Linked DNA regions of Oryctolagus cuniculus. The protein of the gene in region 2 interacts with the protein of the main gene of each other region in a pairwise test. Links are inferred from orthologs where the notes say so. Each region holds a gene or a part of one and is shown on either strand. Other genes may lie near its edges.

Region 1 (4,350 bases), on a different chromosome or scaffold from region 2:
GGGGCCCATTCTGAAAAGCTGGGCTCGCTCGAAAATGGACGCGGTGCCTAAGTGTGGCTTAGTCATTTAATTTGGGAAGGATCATTGGAAGGTCCTCATGGGGGCACCCTGCTCCCCACCCATGGGGGTACCTACTCTAATCCTTGCTCCCAGGACCAAGGGATTTTAGGAAAAAGGAAGGAATGTGCCATGGCCTGCCCCCGGGGCCATCCATGACTCTCCGGGACATTCCAGTCCTAAGCCTCTTAGGCCGTGGAGAAGTTCAAACTAGAAAACCCAGTTTTGGGAGTACAGCGGGGACCACCTACCTCCTTGTGCCTGATCTAACGCCCCCTCCCCAATAAAAGCTCTTGTTTCCAGAATACAAGCTGTTACCGGGCGACGGGGAGCAGGGGTGCTCTGGCAGATGCTGGAATAACCCCAGCGGGCTCTTCAGGCTGCTGAGGGCCCCAGTCCGAGGCTTCACGCCCCTCGGGGTTCCCAGTCTGGGCTCCAGCAGGGTGACTGCCACAGGGCACAGCCCGAGGGCTGGGAGCTGGGGACTCTGTGCTTTCCCCTGCTCTGTGAGCCGCTGGCAGGGCCCATAGGTCTTCCTGGTCCACTGCTCACCCCATGTCCACAGGACACTATCTGGTTCCTGAGAATGGCTGTGCTGGAGGGGAGAGAGCCCAGGAGGGTGGCAGCCCAGGGTCACACGACAGGCAGCTTCTTTCCTGGGAGAAGGGCCCTTGGAGGGTCTCCTCCTCCCGGGTCAGCCCTTGTGGCCTCTGCATCTCCCCGCCCCAGCCCACCTCTGTTTCTCTCCCAAGCCCCCCAGCAGCCAGGGGGAAAGGACAGGGGACAGGGCAGGTTCTCTCCAGTGCCTCTCCTGCCTGCAGCTTTGCGCTCTGGCTGGACCTCGCCATTGCCCTAGCGCTGCCTTTTCAGCAACTAGACAGCAAACTGGTTTCCTCCCTCTGGCCCTGTGGGATCTCAGAACCCACTGGGAATCCAAGAGAACACCCAAGCCTTCGTTTTCTCCGAAAAAGGGGCTCGCATATTTTTAGATTCAGAGAATTCCTAAATCAGAAAATTCTGGGGCTGCAGTTTCAGCCTGGGGCGCCCAATGCCGCGCTCCCGGCCTCAGGGCTCTGTGTGGCCGCCGCGGAATTGTTCGGGGGCTGGTCTCCGTCAGCGTGCGGAGACCCCGTTCGAGAGCAGCAGCTGGGTATGCGGGGACCTTGCCTTAACCACGAAGCCCGGGAGAAGCCGCGGGAATGTCTTTATTAGACTCTGTGAAGGGCATCTGGGGTTCCCAGGGGAGAGTGAAGCCCGACCCGAGCGGGCGAGGGCAGGCCGCCGTGGGCTGGGCGCACCGTCCCGCGCTGCGGCGGGCGTCGGGGTCCGGGGCGAAGAGAGCCGGGCTCTGGCCGAGGTCTGCTGCTGTTGTGCGGCATCGCTGCCCGAACGAGCGAACGAACGAAGCGGTTTCGTTTAGGACAAATACCCTCTTGACGCGAAGCCGCGGCAGAAGTCCCGAGCCGCGCAGAGGGGCCAGCACTTCCGCCGCTGTTGGGGCCCCCATCCCCGGACGCAGCCGGAGTGCCGGGCCGCCCTCTCGCCTGCCCTCGGCTCCCCGAGGCCCCCTATGCGCCGCGCCGCCGCAAAGGACTGCGAAGGATTCCAGGGCTGCGCCCGTCGTGGGGCCCGGGCCCGCGCCCCCGAGGCTGCTGCCCTCTTGGGATGCCCCGGGGCCGAGGCGCAAGGTGAGCTCCCTGTTTAGGTGAGGTGGCTCCGGGTGACGGCAGCTGCGGCCATGCACCGGGCTAGGAACGCGCTCCTCGCGCTGCCTCGAGGGCGCCCGACCTTCCGAGCGTCGCGCACCTTCCGCACCGCCGGCTGCACCCCGTGCTCGCCGGGATCAAAGAGCGCAGGACTCGGCCGCCACCTCCGCACGCCCCTCCACCGCGGAGACCCCGCGCCCCTAGAGCCCGGCGTTTCTTACCCAACCCGGGCAGCGCTGCGTCGGCGGCTCAGCGGCTCTGGGCTCGCCCGCCGCGGACTCTGGCTCAGGTTTCGGCTCCGGCCGGGGCCCCGGATCCAGCTCTGTCTCCAGCTGTGCGCGCTGCCTCGGCCCCGGCTGGTTCGCTACATCCCAGCGCGCAAGGTCGGGGCTGCCTCGGCTCGACCCGCTCCTCCTGCCGCCGCCGCCCGTCGCCTGCGGGGAAGGCGGGGACACGGGCCGGGGAGGCGGGAATGGGGGGGGGGGAGGGGAAGGCGCCGGCCGGGACCGGCGGGGAGGGGGCGGCGCGCTGTCCCACGGGCCAGGGGTCCCGGCCTCCCTCCGGGCGCGGGCTGAGGTCCGTGCGGCTAGCGGCCGGCCGGGGCAGCAGTCCGAGGAGCGCCGGGGGACTGCGCGCGCTGCGGAGAGGCCCGGCCTCAGGCGGACGAGGCCGCTGTGGATCCCAGCCCAGCCCCGACGCGCATTCTCTCCGGGGCTCAGTTTCCCACCTGGCACGTGAGGGGCTGGGCCTAGCGTGGGTCCGGCTGGAGTTTCCCGGGGTCCGGCCAGGTTCCAGCCAAGCTGGGGTTTGGAGAGTCGACCTTGCCCCTTTCTGCCCAGCCTGCGGGTCCAGCTGGGTTTGCAAGTTATTGGCAGCGAAGAGTCGCTGCGCAGAGCTTGTTGGCCACCGAGGTTTGAGGACAGATCAGGCTTTCGGTGTGTGTGACGGGGGTGCGGGGAGGGGCAGCCGGCCCCCTCCTCAGGGCCTGGGCTGTGGAGGAAAGAAGGCGCCGAGTGCACGAGTTCAGGCGCTCATGGCCTCTTGTCCAGTGCCCGCGCCTGCACACCCTCTAGCGATCATCCTTGGGCCGGGAGGCCTCGACCCATGTGGTCCCTAGGCCTGTTCCTGGCTGGCGGCCGCTGGGAGATGGGCAGGACCGAGCGGGAAGTGGGAGCCGACCCTTCTCACATTCGCGACCACCGGCTTCCCCCGCGTCGCCACTCATCCGGAGCCTCGTTGGGGAAACCAGTTGGCCGAACCTGCTTCCCTAAAGCGCCGAGTCTGCGCCTGCAGCTGCGGGGGGCTGTGGGATGGGACAGCGAGGCGGGCTGTGGCCTGCCACTCTCGGGGAGCAGAGCGGCCAGCCTGCCCGCCGACGGCCGCGGGCTCCGGGGCCGCGGCCAGGGCGCAAGGTTCCGGGAGAGGGCAGCGAGGCGGCGGGCATGAATGTTTCATGAGGTGCAGTCCGCGGCGGTGCCTCCCCGCCGCCTGGTGCTCGCCGACAGCTGCCGTGAGAGAGACCGCACGGCCCCGCGCCCGCCCTGTCTCCTTGCTCATCCGCGCCTCCGGGGCAGCCTGGCCCGGGCAGCCGACCCAGGACCCGCGCCCCGACCTCCGAAGGTGAAAGCCGACCCGAGCTCGCCTGGGTCCCTGCAGCCTGTCGTGCCGTTGGAGGGGAGTGGCGTTGTCCCTCCCGGCAACCCTCAACAGTGGGGACCGCTTTAGGAAGCCAGTGGGCTTTCGGGGCACACAGGGTCGTTAAGGGTTAAGGGACCAGTCTCTGGCGCCTTTCTTGCAGACCTGGCCCAGGGACTGCCCCGCGCACGTGCAGCCTGCTGACCGCCCTGCGCCATGGGGATTCCAGCCTCCCCCTTCTCTTACCCCCCTCCCCCCATGTTTTATGAGTGAAAGTGGCCTGGTGGTGGCCCTGCCCAGAGCTGCTAAGCCAGGGCGCTTCTGACCTGGAGCTTTCGGGCATCTTTGGGCTTAATGGAGGCAACCACTGGTGCCCCCCTACAGAGGGCTGCACAGGCGCCTGGCTGGGTTGGCTTTGACTCACCCACCCCTGCACACTAACAGTTTTCCAGGTTTTGTTTCCAGCGGGTGCCTCTGTGTGTGTGTGTGTGTGTGTGTGTGTGTGTGTGAGAGAGAGAGAGAGAGAGAGAGAGAGAGAAAGAAAGAGAGAGATTCTCTGCCTGCTCTTGTTCCCAAGGAATCTTCTGTGGTTGCAAAGAAATCCTGCCTCTGGCACCTGATGGCCTGAGCTGGGATCTTTGCGTCTTGGACTGGCTGTGTGGCTCTGGGCAAGTCAGAGAGCCTCACCCAGCCTCAGCTTCCTCATCTGTAAATGGGGCGAGCAGGGGATCCCCTTCTTTGAGACACAGACAAGATGATGGAACCGAGGGGCTGGCCCCAGGTGGAGCTGGGCTAAGGGGCACAGGCACCTGCCAGGTGGCTTGACTCTTGTTTTTGCTTCCTTCTTCCCCAGGGTGGCTGTGCTGGCTGGTCAGGTAGGAAGGGACCCCTCTTCTGATGGAATGGACTTGTCTCCTTCCCCTGCTGTATTGCTAGGGAGCGTCTGTGCGGG
Region 2 (3,855 bases):
CTCTCTCTTTCTCTTTCTCTTATGTTGAAATTCAATTTAAGCCTATTTTTAGCTTTCTGTTGACAAGTTTTTTTTTTCTGTTCAGTTGAATAGAGTTTCTTCATCTGTTTCCGTGGAAGTTGACAACCCAGCATCCTCCTTTAGAGCCCCTTTGCCTCAACTAGCAGAGTCTCCCACAAAGACCAGGGAGAGGCTGATCCGAAGGGAGGGAGCTGGGCTGGCCTGGGGCACTGGGGAAGGACGGGGGCGCTAACTGTGCCCAGCAGCTCCTGAGTGGCTGACTTGCCCAAGAAGCTCAGGGTAGGGCTGGAGTCGAAGGGCCTGGGGTTCACTGTCCCCGTGCTCCTGCCGGGAACTGCCTGCCTCAGTGCCCTCAGCCTGCTCCTGAGAAGTAGGCTGGGAGCAGCTCCAAGAGGAGGGGCTGACAATGAGTGTGCAAGGCAGAGCCCAGGGTCGGGCCATGGGGAGGTTGTGCTGCAGCCGGGTGGAGCGGAGGGGCGCAGACTCTACAGCGAGCCCACGCTAGGATGTGTTTGCGATTGGTATGTGTTTAAGCATGTTGCACCCTCTTGTATGTTTTGAGTTTGGTTTGGGAAAGGAGCAGAAATCAGCTGGTGCTGCTGTGAGTCTGTGCGTGTTGCGTAGGGTGTTGGGGTAAGTGTGTTAAGTGTGTTCGCTGACACGTGTGGGTGTGTGGGGCTGTGGGGGAGGATGAGGAGTGTGTGGTGGCATTGGTATGTCTAGAGTACAAATGTGTTGGGCTCCTGGGTGTGTGGAGTTAGTGTGGTGGGGTTCTGTGTGTTAGGGAGTCCCAGTGGGTTGTGGGGTGGGGTGAGGGGCCCTGTGAGTTGGGGTAAATGGAGTGCTTCTTTGCTTAATCATTCCATAGATATTCTGAATGTGTCATCCATGCTTGGCACTAGGCCAGGTGCTGCTGAGGGTGTAAGGGTGAGCTAAAGCAGGCACGGTCCTTGGTCTCTCGAACCTAGAGTCTAGTTGGGAGGGGCAGGAGGCATGAGGAATGAGGCCTGGATGGATGTGTGTGTGTGTGTATGTGTGTGTGTGTGGCAGCTGCAAGGGTGTGCCTTGAGTGTGCATTTCTGGATGGGTGTGTTGGAAGGGTGTCCATGTACTGGAGGACTGTGGGTAGGTTGAAGGTGTGGGTGTATTGACACAGTTTGGGGATGTAGGATGCTAGGGTGCATGGCGAGTGTGTGTGGTCAACATGGGAAAGTGTGTGTTAGAGGTGCCTTTCAGGTGGGGTGCATGTCGGGGTATTGGCACCTGAGTAAACATGGAGGGTAGAAGGTATACGAGGGGCTGGAGGGTGTGCGCTGGGCTGTTGCTGGGGAGCAGCAGGGTTCGAGGACTGCTGCTGCAGCTGTGCGGAGCATCTCCTGTGACCTGAGGATGTGCCACTCATGTCCTGGTACCACTTGGGCCAGGCCACCTGCCCCTTCACCCCGTTCGCTCCACACCCTCCACTCTGTGGTAGCCCTGGCTCCTGGGGTGGGTATGGCTGAGAGGAGCCTGGACACAGGATGTCCTGGGGGAAAGGTGGGGCCGGGGCTCCAGGGCTCCTGTCCGGCTTTTCCTCTCCCTGAGAGGAGCTGGAGGGTGCCTGAGGACTGCAGGCAGAATACAGGAGGAGGGCTGTCGGGCCGAGATCTCCATGTCCAGCTGCCACTTCTCCTTCCTGCTGCCCTGTCCACACACCCAGGGGCCTTAGCTGCCTCTTGAATCAAAGTGAAGTCAGTGCTGGCTACCTGGAGCCTGCAGGAAGTCTGGCCCTGATAGAGGGGGAGAAGGAAGGTGTTTGCTCAGGGAGTGACTTGGGGCCCAGACTTTCTGCGTTATGCTCCCCGATCTCCAACCTCTCTCACACACACACCTGTGCATTCAGGTACACATACTTGTCTCTAGATCCCTTGGGCTGCTCTTTGACCAGCTGGACTCTGGGGGTGGTCTGGGTCCCCCAGAGTTGGCGGGGTGGCTGGTTTTGGCGGCCTTTACCTGTGGTGTGGAGTTGGGGGCTGGGGTGGCAGGTGAGTGGGGGGGATGGTCCTTGGAGCTGGCTGGGGCTGGGCTTACCAGCTCCACCTCCTGCAGGCTCTGAAGCGGAAGCCAGATTTGTTCCTGTGTGAACGATTGGATGTCAAAGCTGTGTTCCAGTGTGGTAAGTGGGGCCGGGAGGACAGGTGGGCCTGGGGCTCCCCTCGGAGGATCCTTAGGCCCCACCTGATCTGCCTCTTCCTCTCCTGCAGCTGTGCTGGCCCTCAAGTTTCCCGAGGCACCTACTGTCAAGGCCTCCTGTGGCTTCTTTGTGAGTTGCAAGCAGACCCCTGACTCCTCACCACCTCTGTGGCCTGCCCTGCCCGGGACTCAGCGGTCGACGTTTGCAGGTCCAGTCCTCAGGGAGAGGCGGGAAGGAGCTGGGGCTGATGGGTCTCTCTGTCCTCTGCAGACAGAGCTGCTGCCTCGGTGTGGGGAAGTAGAATCCGTGGGGAAAGTGGTGCAGGAGGACGGCCGTATGCTGCTCATAGCAGTGCTGGAGGTGAACGGGGGCAGGTGGATGTTTGATCAGGGCAGGGTGGGGTGGGGAGAGGGGTTGGCTCTTACTGCTGGGGCAGCTGGCTTTCTGGGAATCGTAAACCTGTAGGTCCCTAAGCTCTTGGACTCTGTTTCTTCCTCAATTAAATGGCTGGCAGTTATCAAGGCTGCTGTGAGGATCAGCTGGCTCTCCAGAAGCAGCGCTCACTTGTGATGTGCGGTGTGGCTCAGGAACTATTCTGGAGGGCCCGGGGGCATGGTTAGGCCTCCTTGCTGCGGAAGGGACAAGGCCCCAGTGTGCTGAGAACCCCTCTCCCTCAGGCCATCGGGGGCCAGGCCTCCCGCAGCCTCATGGACTGCTTTGCCGACATCCTGTTTGCCCTGAACAAGCACTGCTTCAGCCTCCTGAGCATGTGGATCAAGGAGGCACTGCAGCCCCCTGGCTTTCCCTCTGCCCGCCTCAGCCCGGAACAGAAGGACACCTTCAGCCAGCAGATCCTTCGGTGAGCGGAGCTGGGGTGGGCCTGGGTGTGGGTGGGGAAGAGGCGGTGGGCGGTGCTCACCTGCTCTCCTCTCCCTCCCTCCCTCAGCGAGCGAGTGAACAAGAGGCGAGTGAAGGAGATGGTGAAGGAGTTCACACTGCTGTGCCGGGGGCTGCATGGCACAGACTACACAGCTGACTACTGAGCGGTGCCCCCTTCCCACCCACCTCTTCACCTCACCCCTCCCTATGCCCAAAGAGTAAATGTGGACCCTCACTGCTGCCTCTGCTTCCTTCCTGCTGCCGCCATCATGTAAAGAGAAGCCTGGGCCCAGAAGGACTGAGGGCAAGACGGGAGGATGTTGGGCCCAGGCGTTGGGAGGGAGTGCCCGAGAGGAAGTGAGGTGTGTGCTCACCCTCTAGTTCCTAGGGCACAGGAGGTACTGCTGTAGCCAAGCCGTTGCCCTTGGGGTGAGATGTGGAGGGGAGAGGCTGTGGTATTACCAGCCACCCCCCAACATCCATTTGGCTAGTCCCAAGGCACATGCGTGGATATGTTTATTTAATCAACAGTGCTGAGTACTAGACCCCTAGCTGTGTCCTGTACAAAAGCTGACGTAGTCCGTGATCACCATAGTAAGCTGGGAGAATGGTGAGAGAAGGGCTGCATGGAGGAAGTTTCATTTCTGGTGGGAATAGAAGTCTTCCTAGATCCATTCTTGAAGAATTGGGCTGGAAGTGGGTGGCTCTGTGTCCAGTTGGGAGGGGAGAAACAGAGTGGGGCTTTGAGTTCCAGAATGGGTTTCTGGCATGGGTTACACCAA
Region 3 (3,605 bases), on a different chromosome or scaffold from region 2:
ACTGGGTACACGAGCCTGCTCTGAATTCTGACCCAAGAATTTATCAGCCCTTGCATTGCTAGGTCTTGTGCTAGGTACACCCTGTATAATGTAAGTTGTGTAAGGCAGATGCGATGCGGTATACGAGACCTTTGTTGCGAGATGGAATCTTGATGGGAAAACAGTCCATCTTGTGGTGGGCTGTGCTAAGATTCCTGTTTGTGCAACAATTAGAGATGCCGGCTGGTGTGACATTGGCCAGCATGAGCCCCTGCTGGAAACAGTGCTGGGGTTACACAGATTGTTTATTCTCCACTGAACATCTTTTGCTGGATTTCAAGTCCCAATAACAGCAAGATGAATGTTTCCCAGTCTTCAGACTAATACGGGGCAACTGGATAAGCATCTTCAGAAAATTATTCACGTGTTTATTTTTATTGCATCTGGATATTATTGGCCATAGTGCAATTGATGCAAATTAAGGGATTAGCAGTCCATTAGTTGGTGTTGCTATAGCTGCCTTGGAATTTTCCAGAAGTCAGGTTGCCTAGAGGAAGTGATTGCAGGAATTAGAAACAAATGCAAGCTGAAATTCTGACAGGGCCCTCAAGGCCTGTTTGCCTCTTTGAACTTGATGTTAGCAGTCGTCATCAGACTTTAATAAGGCCAGCGTGTCTTGTTCAGTTTTACATATTGTAACAACATGCAGGTTTCCCTGAAGCTGACAGAATGTGTATATGACATAGCAATTACAAACAAATAAATGTGGCCCCTCTGTTAGGGTTGTTTCCACATAGAGACTGGTGTGTGGAGGTGATTTATTTCAAATACAGACTTTAAAACTCTGCACAACTGATATAATTTAAAAGGCACATACATTCCTAAAACATAAAGAAAATAAAAGCAGTGACTTTAGTTTTTAAGAAAACTTCTCAATGCATTTTGGAGTGGGCGGGGCATTGGGTCCGTCCATCTGTTGATCCTGTTAAACAGAAACTTCAATGATTTTGCACAGGGCGGGTGTTGTCCTCTGAACTCTCCTCTCACGATCTCTGAGAATGTGGATCTGGGCACGTTAAGCATTTCTCCGGTTTCCGAAGCAGAGCAGGACCATCTTCTCCCTTGTTCTTGGGATCAAGATCCCCAGTTTGCTGCCCCAGTACAGACCCATGGGAGCTCAAGACAAGTTTTGTCCCAGCTTTGCGTAGTTAGTTAGAGGGTAGCAACCCAATTCAATGGATGAAACTCAATCGGAGCTTTTGGGCCTGTTGGGAAGTCCCAGCTAATTCTTGGGACTGGGTGAGATAATACATACTGCCGTTCTGACCACCTGGACCTGAGATCATTGTGAATCTGCATTGTCACAGGATATTTAATCCCGAGTCAAGCTATGAAAGGTTCCCAAGGCGGGACACCAAACTTCACAGAGAGCGCCTCCCTGCCCCTAAGCTGGAGATAGGGGTTTGGGGGTCATAGAATTCCCCTAATACAGATGGATTTGCAAGGAGAGGTGATGTGTTGATGGAAGTCCTTATGCTACAGTTTTCTGAAGATGCCAGCACACAGCAAGATGAAAATAGACCAAAAACATCTATTGTCAACCGTCTAGCTGGCCAGTTGTCTGAATTTACAGAGCTTTAGAAGCTTGAGGCGTAGCCAAGTTGGAGGCTTCGTCTCAGATTTTTCGTATGGAATGTTCCAGCTCTTGACATGAAGGGATCCTTAAGCCTGGGAATGTGGCTGTGTGCTATGTTTCTCAGTGACCACAGTTTGCCTTTCTCCTTGCAGCCCCCAGTCCCCAGCCAGACCTCCTCGTACTCCTGCATGCTGCCCACCAGCCCGTCAGTGAATGGGCGGAGTTACGATACCTACACTCCCCCACATATGCAGACACACATGAACAGTCAGCCAATGGGCACCTCGGGCACCACTTCAACAGGTGAGCTACTCCTCGCTGCAGCCCGCACACAGGGGGCTTCTACAGCTGCTTTTGCCAGGTCATCTCCTTTTTTTTTTTTTTTTTTTTTTTGGACAGATAGAGTGGACAGTGAGAGAGAGACAGAGAGAAAGGTCTTCCTTTTGCCGTTGGTTCACCCTCCAATGGCCACCGCGGCCGGCGCGCTGCAGCCAACGCACCCCACTGATCCGATGGCAGGAGCCAGGTGCTTCTCCTGGTCTCCCATGGGGTGCAGGGCCCAAGCACTTGGGCCATCCTCCACTGCACTCCCTGGCCACAGCAGAGAGCTGGCCTGGAAGAGGGGCAACCGGGAAAGAATCCGGCACCCCGACTGGGACTAGAACCCGGTGTGCCGGTGCCGCTAGGTGGAGGATTAGCCTATTGAGCTGCGGCGCCGGCCTAGGTCATCTCCTTTTAACCAAAGTTTGTCTTTAAAAAAAAAAATAACCTCTTAACCCTGTGAGGGTTTGTTGAACACTTTGCTGCCCTTGTCTCCAGGGAAAATGGCAAAGGTGAATCCAGTTAAGCTAGCTGTAGGTTGATGCTTTATAGGCCAAAATGATGTTTTTCTTGACAGAGCCTGAGACTAGGCTTTCTGAGGACAGATGATTGGCCAGAGTTTAACACGAGAACCCAGCCAGCAGCTGGGTTGAAACTTCTTGGCCTCTTTACTCCTCAGTTCTTTCTGGAGGAGAGACTTGGAATTCAATAGGTCCATCTGAAGGTACTTGAAATTTTTTTAGAAAAATGGAATGAAAAGGTAAGTTTATTTTGGTGCAAAGAAATCTTGAAATCTATGCACTTTTGGTAGGACACATTTTTCCTGAACTTTTTGAAGTATGCTCATGTAAACAGATGTCCAGTTTTGCAGGTGCTTTTTTTTTTTTTGACATATTTTTAATTTAGTGAAAAAATTGTTGGGACATTTGACAGATTCTTCTTTTTTTTAACTGATAAATTCATATCCATACCTGTCTCTCAAAGGGAATATCTACATGGCTATTTCTTTCATCCATTTCTAGGACTCATTTCTCCTGGTGTGTCAGTTCCAGTTCAAGTTCCCGGAAGTGAACCTGATATGTCTCAATATTGGCCAAGATTACAGTAAAAAAAAAAAAAAAGGAAATATTGTGATAACGCAGTCAGTGACTATGTGGACACGACAGTTGGGAGTTCAGGAAAGGAAAATGGCTGTTAGAAGCACTTGGGTTCTGCATCCGGGTCCTGTGTCATACCCCTGGGGAAATGGACTTGAAACAAGGACCTTTGCATACACAAGGCACGATATCAGTTGGAACAAATCTTCATTTTGGTATCCAAACTTTTATTCATTTTGGTGTATTATTTGTAAATGGGCATTTGTATGTTAATAATGAAAAGAAAAAAAAAAAAAGAACAATGTAGCCTGGATGGATGTTTGATCTGTGTTGGTCATGAAGTTGTTTAAAAAAAAAAAAAGGAAACCATGATCAACAAATTTTTTTTTTCCACGAATTTAAGTTTTATCAAGATATATCGAATACTTCTACCCATCTGTTCATAGTTTATGGACTGATGTTCCAAGTTTGTATCATTCCTTTGCATATAATTAAACCTGGAACAACATGCACTAGATTTATGTAAGAAATATCTGTTGGTTTTCCAAAGGTTGTTAACAGATGAACTTTAT

What was found.
Region 1: the proteins of IPO13 (region 2) and PITX1 interact in binary tests that used the Homo sapiens proteins (3 or more experiments, as listed by UniProt). The link is inferred for Oryctolagus cuniculus from reciprocal best matches to the Homo sapiens genes IPO13 and PITX1.
Region 3: the proteins of IPO13 (region 2) and PAX6 interact in a two-hybrid assay, tested with the Homo sapiens proteins (2 studies listed by BioGRID and IntAct). The link is inferred for Oryctolagus cuniculus from reciprocal best matches to the Homo sapiens genes IPO13 and PAX6.

What each region holds. Positions count from the first base shown.
Region 1 is NC_091437.1:23,204,670-23,209,019, forward strand, and holds the start of PITX1 (pituitary homeobox 1), read right to left. Parts: upstream 2,814-4,350; 5' UTR 2,491-2,813; intron 2,198-2,490; 5' UTR 1,985-2,197; intron 1-1,984. UniProt on the Homo sapiens protein: Sequence-specific transcription factor that binds gene promoters and activates their transcription. May play a role in the development of anterior structures, and in particular, the brain and facies and in specifying the identity or structure of hindlimb.
Region 2 is NC_091438.1:129,090,331-129,094,185, reverse strand, and holds the end of IPO13 (importin-13), read left to right. Parts: intron 1-2,109; coding exon 2,110-2,176; intron 2,177-2,264; coding exon 2,265-2,323; intron 2,324-2,464; coding exon 2,465-2,554; intron 2,555-2,871; coding exon 2,872-3,053; intron 3,054-3,140; coding exon 3,141-3,237; 3' UTR 3,238-3,308; downstream 3,309-3,855. UniProt on the Homo sapiens protein: Functions in nuclear protein import as nuclear transport receptor. Serves as receptor for nuclear localization signals (NLS) in cargo substrates.
Region 3 is NC_091432.1:34,187,396-34,191,000, forward strand, and holds the end of PAX6 (paired box protein Pax-6), read left to right. Parts: intron 1-1,767; coding exon 1,768-1,918; intron 1,919-2,958; coding exon 2,959-3,044; 3' UTR 3,045-3,113; downstream 3,114-3,605. UniProt on the Homo sapiens protein: Transcription factor with important functions in the development of the eye, nose, central nervous system and pancreas. Required for the differentiation of pancreatic islet alpha cells.